Rhinolophus ferrumequinum: one gene and its partner. The protein of the gene in region 1 purifies or fractionates together with the protein of each later gene. This does not show direct contact. Links are inferred from orthologs where the notes say so. Each region holds a gene or a part of one and is shown in the gene's direction. Other genes may lie near its edges.

The links.
Region 2: the proteins of SOS1 (region 1) and PTPN11 purify together in Homo sapiens (affinity purification with western blotting; 4 studies listed by BioGRID and IntAct, with this or other methods). This does not show direct contact. The link is inferred for Rhinolophus ferrumequinum from reciprocal best matches to the Homo sapiens genes SOS1 and PTPN11.

The regions. Positions count from the first base shown.
Region 1 is NC_046296.1:44,778,928-44,787,346, forward strand, and holds the start of SOS1 (son of sevenless homolog 1), read left to right. Parts: upstream 1-5,090; 5' UTR 5,091-5,325; coding exon 5,326-5,412; intron 5,413-8,419.
Region 2 is NC_046308.1:7,484,629-7,492,903, forward strand, and holds the start of PTPN11 (tyrosine-protein phosphatase non-receptor type 11), read left to right. Parts: upstream 1-4,885; 5' UTR 4,886-5,094; coding exon 5,095-5,108; intron 5,109-8,275. UniProt on the Homo sapiens protein: Acts downstream of various receptor and cytoplasmic protein tyrosine kinases to participate in the signal transduction from the cell surface to the nucleus. Positively regulates MAPK signal transduction pathway. Dephosphorylates GAB1, ARHGAP35 and EGFR.

The DNA.
Region 1 (8,419 bases):
ACTGTCTTCTCTCTCGTCCTCACGTGGTAGAAGCAGTGAGGGATCTCTCTGGGGTCTGTTTTATATTGGCACTAATCCCATTCCTGAAAGCTTCACCCTGATGACCTAATGACTTCTCCAAAACCCCACCGCCAAATAGCATCACCTTGGAGATTAGGATTCAGCATATGAGTGGGGGTAGCACATAAACATTCAGTCTATTGAAAGGTATGTGACTGTCGTCCATTCATTTTTGTTGCTCTATAGTATTCCACAATTTATTTACCCATTCTATTTATGGTATTATAAACAATGCAGTGAGGATATACTCGTATATGTTATGGGAATATGTCTATGCTAATTTATATAAGATATGCCCATGTTTTCTTTTAAGAAAGAAAATAGTTATTTAGAGTGGTTGTACTCATTTATTTTCCCATAGCAGTGGATGAGAATTTCAGTTGCTTTACATTCTTGACAAAGCTTAGTATTGTTCAATTCTAAATTTTGCCAATTCAGTGGGCATGAAATAGTATAATATTTCACTGTGATTTTAACTTACATTTCCCTGATCCTAATGAGTTGAACAGCTAACCATCATTATTTCCTCTAAAGTAAATTACCTGTTCTGGAAACTAATTCTTTCTTATGTGAGTTGCAACTACTTTGTCCTACTTAATGGCTTGTCCTTTGACTTTTTTATGGTATATTTTGATTTACAGAAGTTCTTAACTGTAATAAAGTTAAATTCTTTCCTACTTAAAGCTCATAAAGATACTTTATTTTCTTCTCATAATTTTATAATTTTGTTTTTTTACATTTAAATCTTTCATCCATGTGGGATTGTTTTGTTTAGGGTGTGAGTTAGGGATGTAATTTCATTTTTTAATATGTATTTGTCAATTGCCCATATTTTATTTATTGAACAGTATATCCTTTCCCCACTCATCTGCAACGCCTGTTGTCATAAATCAAGTTTCTATATATTTGGCTCTTTATTGATCTATTGATTTGTTTGTCTGATACCACATTGTTTAATTACTCTAGCTATGTAATAAGTCTTCATATCTGGTAAGTCAAGTTCCCTTACCTTGTTCTTTTACAGAAGAACTAGGTTTTTTTTTTTGCTCTTCCATATATATTTTAGACCAGTTTATCAAGTTCCATGACAAACCATTGGTAATTTGATTAAAGTTGCATAGGATTTGTGTGCAGTTAGTTTGAGGGGCCGTTACAGCTTGAATCAACTGAACTTTTGCAAAAAACGACTCTGTAGGGATCCTGGAAAAAAGTGCTAGGAATAATCCCATATATCTTGGAGAGCTTTTTAATCATTTCTTCTAACTGTACTTACCTTGCTCCCCACCATCGAGAGGAGAGAGAGAGAGACAGAGACAGAGACAGAGAGAGAGAGACAGAGAGAGACAGAGACAGAGACAGAGAGAGAGACAGGAAGAGGGAGAGAGGGAGGGAATCAAAGTGTTAACTAAAGGTGATAAGAGGTTGTATTCAATGGTTTTATCACCACTACTTTCTCTGGCGTACTGTCTATGTACATACTATTTGGAGAAGTGGAATTGAAAGCAGGAATTTGAGAAGAAAGTGTGAGAAGCATGAAGGGAGGATATGCTGCTTGAAGAGAAAGGACCTTAACTTTGCTGATGGCTGAAACGGCTGTTTCTATGCTTGTTGTGCTCTGAAGTTTAAGGGGTAGGAATCCTAAATGGGAGATGAGAAAGACTTCAGAGAGAAGGTGGCATTTGAGCTGGAGCGACAGCGTGGATGAGTTCCACGATGAGCGTGTACATGGGTGGTGGGTTGAAGCTGTGGCGGGTGGGATTGAAGAAAAATGGTTATGGGCATTCCAGGCAGACGGAACAGGATAGACAGGAAGGAGAGACAGAAATGATGGGTTTGTAGGAGGCAACAGTAGTTCATTTTAAGTGAGAGATATTGCAGGAAAGATAAGTAGTGGCCCGATTGTGCAAGACCGTGAATGCCAAGCCAAGGACTTTAGACTTTATCCCTGGATGGCAGTGGAGGCTCTTGAATAGGAGAGTAACTGGCTCTGAAATTTGCTTCAGAAAGGTAATTGTGACTGCGTCCCACTGCGGCGCTGGGAAAGGAGCTGAGTGCTGCACTCCCACCTGCAGGGGGCGCGCCGCCTGGCGCAACGCCCTCCCCCGCCCCCTTCCCTGCTGCTCGGGCTTCGACGCGACGCGCTCGGAACTCGTCTTATCCCTCCTGGACACGCCCCCTCGGGCCTCGGCTAGGCCGCCTGGGCCCGCGCCCTGCGTCACGTCCGCTTTGATTCAGGGCCTGTTAGGGCCGAGGGGCGCGAAGAGCACCTTTGCGCCTGCGCCGGGCCGCAGTCGGTGGCTCTTGCTGACCGGCCTCCAAGGCTTTGCGCCTGCATTAGCATGTTCACGGTTATCTTCTGTCACTGCACACTCATAGATGTTTTGATTTGTCCCAAGAGATATAGGCAAACAGCGCAGAGGGGCTCGATCGCTCCCTAACCTTAGCGGCGCCGAGCCCAGCACCGCATCCCTTAGGCTCTCAGCTGAGAGGTGCTGAGTCGCTTCTCTGCAATATTCCTTCAGCTGCTTGCTCTCAATCTGCGGCCCAAACGTTCATACTAGTGAAAACCTGCCCCGGCCGCCCCAGCACAGGCTGTAATCCATGTTTCTAGGCATGTTTTACCTCTGCAATCATAGCAGAGACTCGGAGTTGAAGGGGACCTTGCAGGTCATCAAGTGCAACCTCTTAACCCTCCCCTATGTCCCGAGCGAGTGAATGTATGGTTTTTACTTGCACCCCCAAAGATCGTCCGTTTCCTAGGACAACTCTGATTAGGTAACCTTCCTGGAAGTTTCCTACATTCAACTTTCATTCCTTCAAAATTATTTATTGAGCACCAACTGTGAGTCAAGTACTGTAGGTTCTGGGGATACAATGAGGAACTAGAGTGAAACAAACGATTGTTGATCTCTTGGAGTTTACATTCTATTCTAGTTGGGATAGATCAACAACTGAAAATAATTAAAGGCTGTGATTTATGTTAGCAAAGAAATAAACAAGGCTTATGGTAGAAACATAGGTGGGAACTGCTCAGCATTATTAGACAAGGCCTCTTGGAGGTGCTGACATTTATAACCAGCCAAGCGAACAGTTAGGAGCAGAATAAGTTCCAAGCCGAGAAAAGAGCAAAGCCCTTGAGGCAGGAAAGAGGTTGCTGTTTTCTAGGAAGACAGAAGACCAGTGTGGCCAGAGGGGAGGCAAGGTTGAGAATGCAAACAGGAACCAGACGCAGGCTTTATGGGCCACGGTAAGAAGTTGGAAGAGAACAATGGGAAACCAAAGAATAACGTGGGGCAGAGATTTGATCTTAGTTCAGCTGTTTAGAACCACACAAACCATATCACATATCCTATGTTTTTCCATATCAGTCCTTTAGATATTTGAGCATGGCTGATATGTTTTCCTTTCTTGCCCCCAACACCTCTGGAAGCTATGGTTCTACTTCATTTTATCCAGAAGATTTATGAATGACTTTCAAAACGTCACTCTGAACACTGAAAATGTGGAGAATTTTTCATGTAAATCAGGTGTGTACATTTTTAAAGGAAAGGACCTAAGGCTTTTATGAGATTCTCAAAACCACCACTTAAACATTTCTCATCTCTGTGGTCCTGATTATTGTTCTCTGGAGTAGCAGGGTACAATGTCAACTTCAACCCAGGCTAGTTCTCTAAGTGGTCTTCTCACCTGTGAAATGAAAACTAGAAATGCTATGAGGATTAAATGAGATTATGTTAAAAAAGTGTTTAATGGTAGGCCATAACGCGCCAGCCACACCCGTTCCACTATTATAAACAAACACCTGCATCCCTGGGATGGAGGGACAATTTATAGGTAAAGCTCCTTCAGCACTCCAAACATTCACGAAGTGCCTATTCTGTATAGAGCCCCTGGTGAAAAAAGATCTGCCTTCCAGGGGTCTGGTATCTCGCTGAAAGACCCAGGAGAGATAAACGAAATGTCCACCGTGAAGTGTTGTGGGATCTGGGAGCTGCAGACAAGTCTTTAATTTCCACTGGAGTTAAGCGGTCATCGGAGTTCATATTTGAAATGGGTTTGAAATATGAAAATATTGAATTTTATTTGAAGTGGGTTTGAAAGATGAACATATTGAATTTTAAACACACAGAAAATCAGTATTACACATAAACATTTTATTCTTGATGTGCAAAGGCCGACTGGAAACACTGCGATCACTTCTATTATCTGACAAATACCAAACAGCAGGTATCGTGAGAACGCACCTATCTTTTGTCCAGTCTGTTTACTATACATTGCCTGCTCTGGGCAGTCCTTATCTTCATGTTCGGGAACAAAGTACACACATACACACCCCTTTCCGAAAAGAGAAAGGCAGACTCCAAGAGAGGGGTGGGATCCCTCGTGGCCCAACCACACAATGGGGGCCACTTCACCGTAGCTCGCCCCCTGTCCCTCCGGACCCCCCACACCCCCGCCCCACAAGCCCCACTGTAGCCGGGGTTCGACTTCTCCGGTCCCTATCGCTCCTCCCTTGCAGCTCCAGGGATGCAGTTACAGCCCCTCCGGGCGCCCTCCCTCTCTCGAGCTTCCCTCCTCCTTCGCTGGGGAGCCGGAAAACCCGGAGCGAACTGGCCCCGTCCGGCGGCGCATGCTCAGTAGCGAGCAGGTTCAGTTCGCTAGTAGGAAGCCCCAGCGCTACACCCGCGTCGGCGGCGGCCGCGGCGGCACCTCAGGGCAGCCAGATTCCCCAACAACGACCTCGGGCCTCTCCCCTCCCCCGCTAGACCCCGGCCCCAGCTCCGCCCCGCCCGGGGTCGCTCGCGTTTGGCGGTCTCCGCTGCGCTGAGCGGTCGCCGCGGCCGGAGCGCCCCTCCACACGCCCTCCCCCAGCCGCCGGCTCCGCCGCGGGGCCAGGCCGGGCCCAGGAGCGCAGCCCCGGCAGGCGGGCGGGCGGCGGCCTCGGCAGAGGGCAGCCCGGGGCGGCGCCGGCGGGCCGGGGAGGGGTGGGGGGGCCCGGCCCCTGGGCGGTGGTGCGGGATGCCGCCGCCACCGCCTCTGGGCTGCGTTCGCTCTCTGCGGCGGGTGCCCGTGTCGGGTGGGTGGCCGGCCGCGGGCCTCGCCCCCCAGCCCTCTCTCCAAGGCTAGCCCGGCCGCGCGGCGCCCCGAGGGGGCCGGGCCGTCCGGTGGGGCCGCGGCCCTGCTCCGCGCTGCGAGCTCGCCCTCTCGCGGCTCCCGGCCCGGCCGCCGCCGCCCCCTCCCAGTGCAGGGCGCCCCGGGGGCACCATGCAGGCGCAGCAGCTGCCGTACGAGTTTTTCAGCGAGGAGAACGCGCCCAAGTGGCGGGGGCTGCTGGTGCCTGCGCTGAAAAAGGTGAGGAGCGCAGGGGACCCCGCTTCCCGGCTGCAGCCCCTGCGAGGGCGCCGGGCCCGGCTGGGCAAGGCTTGGGGAGGCGGGGCGCGCGCGGGGCCGTCTTTCTTCCCGGTCTCACTGCCTCCCAGAAAGGACGGCACACACTGAGGTTCCCCCGCAGTCGCTGGCTGTCGGTGTTGACATTCACTCCGTGTGTGAGAAGGCCGCAGGAAAGCGGGGAGCGTTTGTCCAAATCATCCAGTCCCTGACAGCTTAAGGTCCTGCCCCTGATTCTCTCACCAGAGTTGGAGCAGCCTCAGGTCTCAGCGGAGGTCAAAGCAGGCCACTTTTCCGGCTTCTTGGTCTTACCCAGACCCGCTGTCAGCCTCCGGTTTTAGGTGTCCAGTCTGCCCGTTTCAGTGGGCTCGATATGCTCTGGCCATAATGCTTGCTCTAAGTAATTGCAGCGCTCGCCTGCCAGCAGGAATATGGCCTGCTTTGCTCGCCCTCTGTAATCACTCTTCATTCCCCCGAATTCCTCCATTCCTCCCATTAACAGGCGCGGGTGTGCAAGCCACTCTTTTTTCTTTTCTTTTTCTTTCTTTCCAAAATCTGAGAATTTTGGCACTATCATTCGGTTTGTGGATCAGAAATTTTAAACTTCCTGTGTTTCTTCAAGTTTGCCACATTGTTACCTAACGTTATATACCCCACGACTTGTACTTTTTAAATGTTTTAGTGTAATTAGGAAATGTTGCTACATTTTAAAAGCTTCTAAAGCAACATTGTGACTTAAATACATTAAAACATCAGGAACTGGTGTGCTTGAATGAACCTTAGAAACAACCAGAGTATTTTTTTGTTTTCCTTTTACTTTTTCTATAAATATAGAAATTGCTTTCTCTTTTAATAGTGTTTCTAAATCCCAGTTTCTTGTTGCTCAAAGAATGATTCTTGTTATCTGGTGAAAATATTTTTACTCCTACTGAGAGTTCAGATTATGGGTGTACCTTTTGTTCTAAGCATTTATCCTTTTAAAAACTGTCTCTTGAAAGGTGTCTGATATTTCTCAAAGGCCAGCAACTTTTACTTTCCCTTTTGCCCTGTTCTCCCTTTTCCCCTCTTGGTATCTTACAGTGGAAACTATTTGGTTTGTTAGCAGAATTTGCTCATATATTTCAGATCTAAGTTAATGACCTTTTTCCTTAGATATCTGACTAGCCACACACATCTCTGTGATACTGTTTTAAAGAAAACCAAAAACAGATGCTATTTGCCTTATATTCATTAGGCTTTATTCATTAGAAATCTCTTCAGGCTCTCACTGTATTTCCTTTTGCTTTACCTACATGCTACATCTTAGCTTGTAATAGAAGGTGAGTAGGAGGTCTCAGTGATGCCAGACCTGATTGGTATCCTGACCGAGGTGGAGAGGAGACAGAAAAATTGTTAAAAAAAAAATACAAAAAACCTCCTAAAACACTATCAATTTGGGGCTATTTTGTTTGGAAGCAAGCAACGCCTGTCCCAGGGGAACCATCAAGATACTCTTATCAATTGAGGGGACTATGAAGCAGTAAAAAGAGCAGGAGTTGGCAGACCAGGTCCAACTCTGCCACACTGGTGGCCCTTGCTAAAATCTGTCCACAGAAGCATTTGGTTTGGCTGGCACCGTGTTGTTTTAATTTTAATGTAATTAGTTGCCAATGTTTAAAAATGGGAGATATTACATAAAATCAGAATTTTGAGCTTTTCTTGAAGAGTAGCTCTCCCCTCATGGGCCCGCTTTCCAGCAAGGCAGTAAAGTGCTGCAGCTGCCCTCTTTAGACAGCATGTAGTATTTTCAGTTTACCACAGCTCTCCACCAGACCTCTGCTTATTTACCTAAACCAGCTTTGACTTTAAGCAGAAATGCCCTTGTATGACAGAAGTGATGGGAGGAGGTGGAAGGATACACAATCTAGTTGATAGGTGAGGTTCTTCCAGTTCTTTTTTTAATTATTAGTTTCAGGTGTACAAAACAATGTACTAGTTAGATATTTACACCCCTCACAAAGTGATAACCCCGTCCCCCCAATCTACTACCTCTCTGACATCGTATACAGCTATTACAATACCATTGACTCTATTCCCTATGCTGTACTCCACATCCCGTGGCAATATATGTATACATATACTTAATTATAGTTGACATTCAATACTATTTAACTTCAGCTTCAGGTGTGTAGCATGTTCTTCCAATTCTTATTTAAAATATCTACTATTGATGATTCTAAGCCACCTAAAACAAGGTTAAAAATATATTTCATATCTGGACATGCTTTGGGTGGCTCAAAACCTGCGTTTTCATCTACCTGCTGCTGTGTTTCCCCAAAAAGAAGACCTAGCCGGACCATCAGCTCTAATGCATCTTTTGGAGCAAAAATTAATATCAATATTACATAAGAACCGGTCTCATATTATAGTAAAATAAGTCCGGGTCTTATATTAATTTTTGCTCCAAAAGACGCATTAGAGCTGGTGGTCTGGCTAGGTCTTCTTTTTGGGGAAACACAGTAGACATTTAATTTGGATATCTCCGTATCTTGAACTCCTCCTTTAGACTTATTGCACTATTTGCCGATGTGCCCAACTTGTGTTATCTTACCTGAAGCTCTGTGGAGATCCTGTTATTTTCACCTGGACTGCCCTTTGCCTGGCCTAACACTACTTCTTCTGGACTAGTTTGATCTCAGATCTTTTCTCAAATCTTCAGGGCTGAGTGAGATAGTCTTTATTTTCTGTTAGTACCCTTGCCTAGCACTTAACAATGGATTCCAAGTTTCTATATAATTGACCTCCCCCCCACCCCAGCTCTTCCCCAACTAGTTTGGATGGTCCTTGAAGACAAGGATAATATTTTACCCTTATTTTATCCTCCCATGTATACAGTGCCTGACACCTAGTAAGCACTTAAATTTGAATGAATGGTTGAGGGAATACCCAAACTAAAATCATCAACTGCCTTCCACCTACCATTACAATTTTT
Region 2 (8,275 bases), on another chromosome or scaffold:
GTGAAAACTGAGGCTCAATTACAATAAACGACTTATCTAGGGTCACACATGTGCTTACATTGACTCATGTCTCTTTGTGTCACAGAAAAACAGAAACCCAGTAGGCAGTTGTGCTGCAGAAAGGGTACTGTCCTTGTAACCGGGGATTCATTTGCTATATGATCTTATAAGTCTCTGCACATGAGTTTTCTTACTCATAAAACGGGGATGATATTGGCAATATTGATAATACTTTCTTAAATGTTAATGTTAAGGTCAACATGGTGATTCACTCACTCAATAATTTTCTCACGAAAAAGTTCATGGCAGCACTATAGTAGTACAAAACAAAACAAAGCCCTTGAAATAATTTGAATGTCCATCAACACAGGAATTGACTAAACAATGGACATCCATACTATGGAATATTATGCAGGTATGAAAATGAATGACTTTCATCCAAGGGTGCTGTATAGCACGGTAGCCAGTAGCCAAATGTAGCTACTGAGCACTGGAAAAGTAGCCAGTTCACATTGAGATGTGTCGTGAGTGTAAAACACACACTGGACTTTAAAAGCACAAGAAAAAAAAGAATATAAAATATCTCATTAATAATTGTTTATATTTACTGGTTATATGTTGAATGATAATATTTTGATATATTGGGTTAAATAAACATATTATTCAAATTAATTTCACCAGTTTCTTTTTACTTTTGAAATGTGAATATTAGAAACTTTAAAATTACACGTATATTTGCTCACATTATATTTGCATTGGACAATCAGTGCTGATTTAGCTGGATGTCCATTATATATTAAGAGAAAACATTATATCACAAAGATATATATTTGTATCTATTTCTCTATATATATTTTATCTATTTCTATATATATCTGTATGTACATACATACATATACACACATACACAAATGTATGTATATATAAATATATACATATTACAAACCTATAAATATATACACATATTATGAATTCATTAAAAAAATAGAAAAAAATCCCTACATATGTCATGTATGTGAGTGACTGTGTGTGGGATCTGTGTGTGTGTGTGTGTGTGTGTGTGTGTGTAGGTATGGAAAAAAGTGTGGTAGGATACACACCAAATCATTAACCGTGCGGGGGTTGCCATAGGGAGGCTGTAGCCACTAAGGAGCCGGGGAAATTACTGCTCTTATTTGGATTGTTGCAACACACTTGTATTGCTTTTGTAGCTAAGAAAGAAATAAAAATAAAACATCTGTAAATGAATTTCTTAAGCTTGTTATATGCCAGGTACTACTGTGTAGGCTTTGGGCATATGAAGATAATGACTGTTTTAAGAGGAGCTCATAAACTAGGGAAAGAGGAAAAAGACTCAATCAACAACGACCTTGAACTATGTTGGGGGCTGTGAGAGGATAAACAGGCAGCCCCAAGGCGTAGTGGGGAGGGGGTCTCTATTTTATTTTTAGGATGTGGTCAAGGGGTGTGGACAGCGAATGTTTTGTGGAGGAGCTGATTGAGTTGGAACTGAATCTTGCTTGACACTTAGTTTTCCAGATGAAGAAGAGTTTGAAGGGTATTCCAGACAGAAGAAACTAACTTCTGGAAGACAGAGATGCAAGAAAGAGCAAGAGGCCTTTGAAAACGGTCAGATTATGCGAAAGAGTGGGGGTAAATGAAACTGTGTGGGTATATTCCATATCTAGAAAGGTTTTTAGTCTAATGGGAGGATTTTAATTTAGTGCTAAAGACTTTGAACCTCCCTCATAGAAGCAAAGAATGACATGATTAGATTTGTATGCTAGAAAGATCCTTCTTGCTGCAGAGTGTACAAAATATAGGAAAGACTGGGGAAGCAATGGTTTCTGTGCTCAAAGAGCTTAGTTTACTTTGGAAGAGATATATGATAAACAGCATTTATCAAGTGCATACTTTGCCAGGCACTGTTCTGGGTACGGCAGATCCTAAAATAACGTCATTTCGTTCACTGTCCTTTCCTAACGTTCCTGAGAATAAAAAGTCCATTCCCAGTCACGGCCACTGTCTGTGTGTCGTTTTCACGTTCTCCCCATGTCTGCGTGGGTTTTCTAGAGGTAGTCTGGTTTCCTCCCACATCCCACAGATGTGCATATTAAGTGATCTGGCCTGTCTCCATTGGCCCATTCTGAGGGGTTGTAGGGGTGTGTGTGTGTGTGTGTGTGTGTGTGTGTGTGTGTGTGTGTGTGATGTGCCCTGCACCCTGTGATGGAAGGGCCTCCTGTCTAAGGTTGGTTCCCACTTTGCACACTGAGCTGCCAGGATAGGCTTCAGCTGTGCTCAGCCCTGACCTGGAATAAGTGGGTTACAAAATAATGACCACACTTGTTTTTATTAATCTTTTTTTAAATGTATGTATAGCTCACATTTATTTCAATGTTTAATATTAGAAGTATTTTGGGTCTTTATTTAGAAGTGTGGAGATGTTTTTGTGACCAGAAATATTCTCTCGGAACTTAACTCTTGTTTCTATCAATTAGCCTATGATAAAATTGGTTTTGTTATAGGTCATTTGTCTTCAAGTCGCAGTTTCCAAGAATGAATTGACGACATTAAGTGAGGACTTACTGTACTCCACAAACATTAACTTTTTTTTTTTTTTAAACATTAACTCTTTTATTCTTTGGAACCTATCCTATGGGGTGTGTGGTATTTAGAGTCTCTCCATTTTACAGAGAAGGAAACTGAGACAGAGTCAAGTAACCTAACATAGGACACCCAGGCAGACAGGCTGAGCTTTGAAGATCACGAATTTAATCCCCCGTATTATACTGTGTCTTCGAGTTATAATGGAGTACGTTTGGTTCTAAGATAGGAAAGGTGTCTTGGGGACCACATAACCTGGTCTGGGAGAATCACAGCGGGCTTCCTAACCCAGCGGAGATGACTTCGAGTCTGAGATTTGAGGCATAAACTAGAGTTCCTGGGGAAGCGGGGTCAGAAAGAACCCTCCAGGGAGAGGGAGCATCTCAGCTGGGAGGGGAAATGAAAGTCATTCAGCACGACCGGGACATGGGGAATGAGGTGAGTGGTGGGGACAGGTAGGGCTGGTGAAGTGAGCAGGGATTGGATCAGGAGGGTGTTAAATTTTTTTTTGTTGTTCCCTTTTTGCTACATCCTAAAAGCAGTGAGAAGCCTTTGAAGTACTCCAAGTTAGGGAGTGACTAGATTTGCATTTTAGATTACTGTCGCTATTATGTGGAGAATGGATGGGACAGGGAAAGCCTGCAGGCCTGAGATCAATTAGGATGTTGTCTGAGTTGTCCAGGTGGCTAAGATTTAGGAAGAATATGGAAAGAAACAGGTTGAGCAACTTCTTGCTGAATGCTATTACCTAAATTAAATTTGCATATATTAAAGACAATTTTTTTTGTAAGGAGCTCATTAATGCTGAAGCAGTTAGCACACTGTGTGAAAGTTCTTTGTATAGGAGTGAAATGGGAATCATTGGGAGGATTTTGGAGCTATCTAATGTGGGTTGAATTCACTCACTAGATCTGTGGCCTTTAATGAGTCACGTGCATTCATTAGGTTAAAAACTCGACCTTCTTGTGGTCCGAATTACCATCACCTACAGCCTTGAATACCACAGTATTTTAGTATTCCGGTCTTTCCGTTACTGGCCTTGCCCTCTTGATCCAATTCTTCACAGGGTGCCCAAAGTAATACTTCAAAAACACATTATATTCCTCCTCTGCCGAAACATCTTTCAAGGGCTCTCCATTTCGCCGTTCATTTAAATAACCTATAGGATCCTCTACCATTTCTCTTTCTCATCTCCTGCTACTCTCCTTTCACCACCAACTCTCCCTCCGGCTGGAGACTTCTCTATTGTTTTTCTTTCTTTTTTTTTTTTTTTAAATTTATTTTTAATTTATTGAGGTGACAATTGTTAGTATAATTACATAGATTTCAGGTGTGCAATTCTGTATCACATCATCCATAAGTCACACTGTGTGTTCACCACCCAGAGTCAGCTCCCCTTCCATCACCATACATTTGATCCCCCTCACCCTCATCCCCCCCCTCTATTGTTTTTCAATAGGAGGCAGCCTCCTACCTTAGATGCTTGAAATGCTACTCCCCTCACTTATTTCCTCTGACGGCTTCAGCATCTGATCTTTACTGGAATCCTCAGTGAAGCCTTCCCTAAAACTCTGTTTCAAATGATACTAGAAAGGGCTATTTGGAAAAGACAAGAAGGAAGGATGGGAATATTACCATGAGTATTTTACTTATCTTGATTACCGTAGCTCCTCCCAGAACACAGGAATTTTTGTCTTTTCACTTCCCTGTTGTATCCCCCTAGTCTAAAACAGTGCCTAGCAGATAGAAAACCCTCAACATATGTTTACTGACATTGATAATACAGCTAACAATTACAAAACACTAAACAGGCCAGGCCTCGCTCTAAGCATTTTACATGTTCAATCCTCACAATAATCCCACGAAGAAAATACAATGACTATCTTTACCTTACAGATACGAAGGGATGGAGGAAACTGAGGCTCAGAGAAATTAAGCAACTTTCCCAAGGTTATACAGCTCGTTAAGGGGAGCGGCGATCTGAGGAATGAAATGAATGAAATGCGATTTGGCAGTCAGCGCAGGAATGAAAATTGACACCGTGGGAACGGAAACTATCGGTTTGGGGCCGCGCGGACAACACTGAGCGCGCAGCTCACGCCCCGCAGCCGAGGTCTAAAGGAGGACGTGAAGGTACTTTGGGAACTGCGAGGCGGCGGCTCCAACGAGCCACCACCGACCTGCCATTACCAGCCGCGGCTGGGTGTCCCGCCGCCTGGAAGCAGGAAGTGGCAGGGGGCGTCGCGCGGGGTGACGTCACTATGGCGCCGGCGGCGAAGGGCGGGGGCGAAGGAGGAGCGAACCGGGCTTGGGGGGCGGCTGCACAGTCTCCGGGATCCCCAGGCCTGGAGGGGGGTCTGCGCGCGGCCGGCTGGCTCTGCCCCGCGTCCGGTCCCGAGCGGGCCTCCCTCGGGCCATCCCGATGTGACCAGGCCCAGCGGAGCCTGAGCGAGGAGCGGGTCCGTCGCGGAGCCGGAGGGCGGGAGGAACATGACATCGCGGAGGTGAGGAGCCCGGAGGGGCCCGGCGCGGGCCTCGGCCCGGCCCCCGTCGTGTTCGGTCAGCCTCGCCCGGGAGGGGGCGCGTCGGGCGGACTTCGGTCGTCCGCCTGGGGTCGGGGGACAGGCTCCCCCCCAAACTCCTCGCCTTCCCGGGGCCGGGGTCCGGTCCCACCTCGCTCCCACCCCTCGGGTCTCCATTCATTTCCTGCCTCCCGGAGTTCCGGCTCCCGCAGCCTAGGGGATGCCCGTCGGGACGGGGGCAGGTAGAGCGCCGCGGGAACCGCGGACGCCAGCGGCCCGGCTCGGCGCCGCATTCCTGACCCATTGCCTCATGAGAATTGCCTCATGGTGATTCCGAAATAACCCGGCTCACTTGGGGAGGCTCCTTGGGCCCGCGACGCGGGAGGGAAGAGGAGGGATTTGCTCCGGGCCGGGTCCCCGACGGTGGAGCTGCTCGAGGTCACTCTGCCTGTCGCGCGCATTTGGGGGCTTCACTCGGGACCCCTGACCCCTTTGTAGGCGTCTTTGCATCTCCTTTTCCCCCCACCCCACCCTTCACGTGCCAGAAATGGAAAAACTGACTGTATCTGCAGCTATTAGAAGTATTTCCTTCCTCTGCAATATTCGCTTTGAGAGATGGGAGGGAAGGGAGTTGTATCTCTTCTAGTTATTTAATCCTTCACCGCAACCCTAAAAGTCAGGTAACATTAATGACCTTCTTTTTACGGATGTGGAAACTGAGGCTCCGAAGTAACAAGCTAGTAAATGACAGGATTTGTACCCGAGAGTCAGAAGGAAGATTAGTGAATTAATGAGGTCCTTTGAAAGTTCAGGGTAATAATACTAATAGCTAACATTTATTAAGCTGTTACTGTAAGCCAAACATTTAATCTTCACTATAACCCTACGAGGTAGGTACTATTATCCCCTTTCTAAAGATGGATAAACTGAGTTTCAGAAGTTAGACAACTTGCTTAAGGTCACTCAACCAACAAATGGTAGAGCCAGAATCTCCACTATTAATCACTATGTTGCTATTATTTTATAACTGTTGCTAATCATTTTTAGGTCTTAATTTTGTTATTAAGCAGTAGGGTGATCTATTGTTTTCAGATGGTGATCTGCTTTTTTGTATAGTCACTCATTATATACCATTCACATATAAGACTCATTGTTTAGTCTTTTCTTTGGTTGCCCTGTTGTGGTCACTGTCTTAGACATTTGAAAAACTGTTTAGCCTTTTGGTGTTATTTGAGTGAGAGACTTCAAAAGACTAGAATGTCGTCTCAAAATACACCTGCACAATACTTATTCATAGATCTGGAAGGAAAAGAGTGAGAAAAAAAGAAAACTGGAAACTTTGGAAGTGAGTGACTTGGACAGGTCTGTTGGCAAGTGCTTACAGATCTGGGTAATACATAATTGCATTTCAACAGGGCAGTGTATAGCCTCAAATGTAATTCTTTAGGGAGCTTTTAAATAAAACAGTTGTCTATTCTTTAATCTGTCAAATAGTCATTGAGCCTTTTGTTCCTTGTGTCTGCTCTTCCAGACAAGTAAGGATCTGCTGCTTTTGGAGACAAAAGATGGGGCTGGGGCTGGGTAAGGGGTAGGGTAGTAATAGACCCTACATTGTCCAGCTTGTTAGTCTAGAAGCAGGGAAGTGTGGGGATAAGCAACCGGCAAGTGGTAAACATGACAGTTTGAAATGGAGTAATTCCTCCTCTCCTCCAGCCCTCCCTGTCTCACCTATTATAACAAAGAAATGTGTGCCACCAAAAAAGTCAAGTTATGAACATAACACACATAATTGGGAATTATTATTATTTTTCAGGTTGTAGGTCTGTTTTATTATTTTTAACCAGCTTTATTGAGGTATAAATGACATGCAATACATTACATATATTTAAGTGTACAATTTGATAAGTTTTGATGTATGTATATACCCGTGAAACCATCACCACAATCAAGATAAGAAACATGTCCAGCACTGCTTGAGATGGTTCCTCATGTCCTTTATAATCCCTTATTTTTCAGGCAACCACTGCTCTGCTCTGCTCTGTGTCCCTATACATTAGTTTGCATTTCCTAGAATTTTATATCAATGGAATTTTAAGGCTGGCATCTTATGCTCAGCATAATTATGTTGAGATTTATCCATGGTGTAGTATATGTCAAATAGTTCATTCCTCTTTATTGCTTAGTAATACTCCATTGCATGGATGTACTGCCAATTGTTTATCCATCCACCTGTTGATGGACATTTGCATTGTTTCCAGAGTTTCGCTATCACAAGTAAAGCTGCTCTGAATGTTCAGGTACAAGTGTTTGTATAGATATACGCTTTCTTTTCTTTTCTGTAAACCTATCAGTGGTATGGCTGGATCATATAGTAGATGTATTTTTAACTTTTTCCCAAATTGCAACACTGTTTTACATAGTGGTTACACCATGTGCATTCCCACCGCTCATGGTGTGGTCAATTTTTAAATTTTAGCCATTGTAGTGGGTGTGTCATGGTATCTCATTTTCATTGTAGTTTTAATATGTATTTTTCCTGGGGACTAATCATGTAGACCATCTTTTCATGTGCTTATTTACCGTCTGTATATCTTCTTTGGTGACATATCTAGTATTTGATACAATATTTTCCCTCTTTTTTATTTAGTTGTTTGTTTTATTATTGAAATTTGAGAGTTCTTAATTCTGGATACTAGTCCTTTATCGGAATTGCAAATATTTTCTTTTAGTCTGTGGCTTGTCTTTTCTTTCTTTTTTCTTTTTTTTAACTAAAAGTTCAAAGTTTTAATCTGAATTTTTCTGTCTTTTCATTTTTTTAAGTGTCTTTTGAAGAACAGAGATTTTTAATTTGGACGAAGTCCAGTTTACCAGTTTTTTTTAATGGATAATGCTTTTACTGTCATTCCTAAGAAATCTTTGCTTAACCCAAGGTCTCAAATGTTTTCTCCAAGTTTTATAGTTTTAGGTTTCTGATCCACTTTGAGTTAATTTTTGTGTATGGTATGAGGTGTAGATACATATTCTCTTTTTGACATATGGATGCCCAATTGTTTCAGCAAGATTTGTTGAAAAGACCATTCTTCTTTATTGAATTTGCACCTTTGTTGAAAATCAGTTGTCCGTTTATATGTGGGTCCATTTCTGGACTC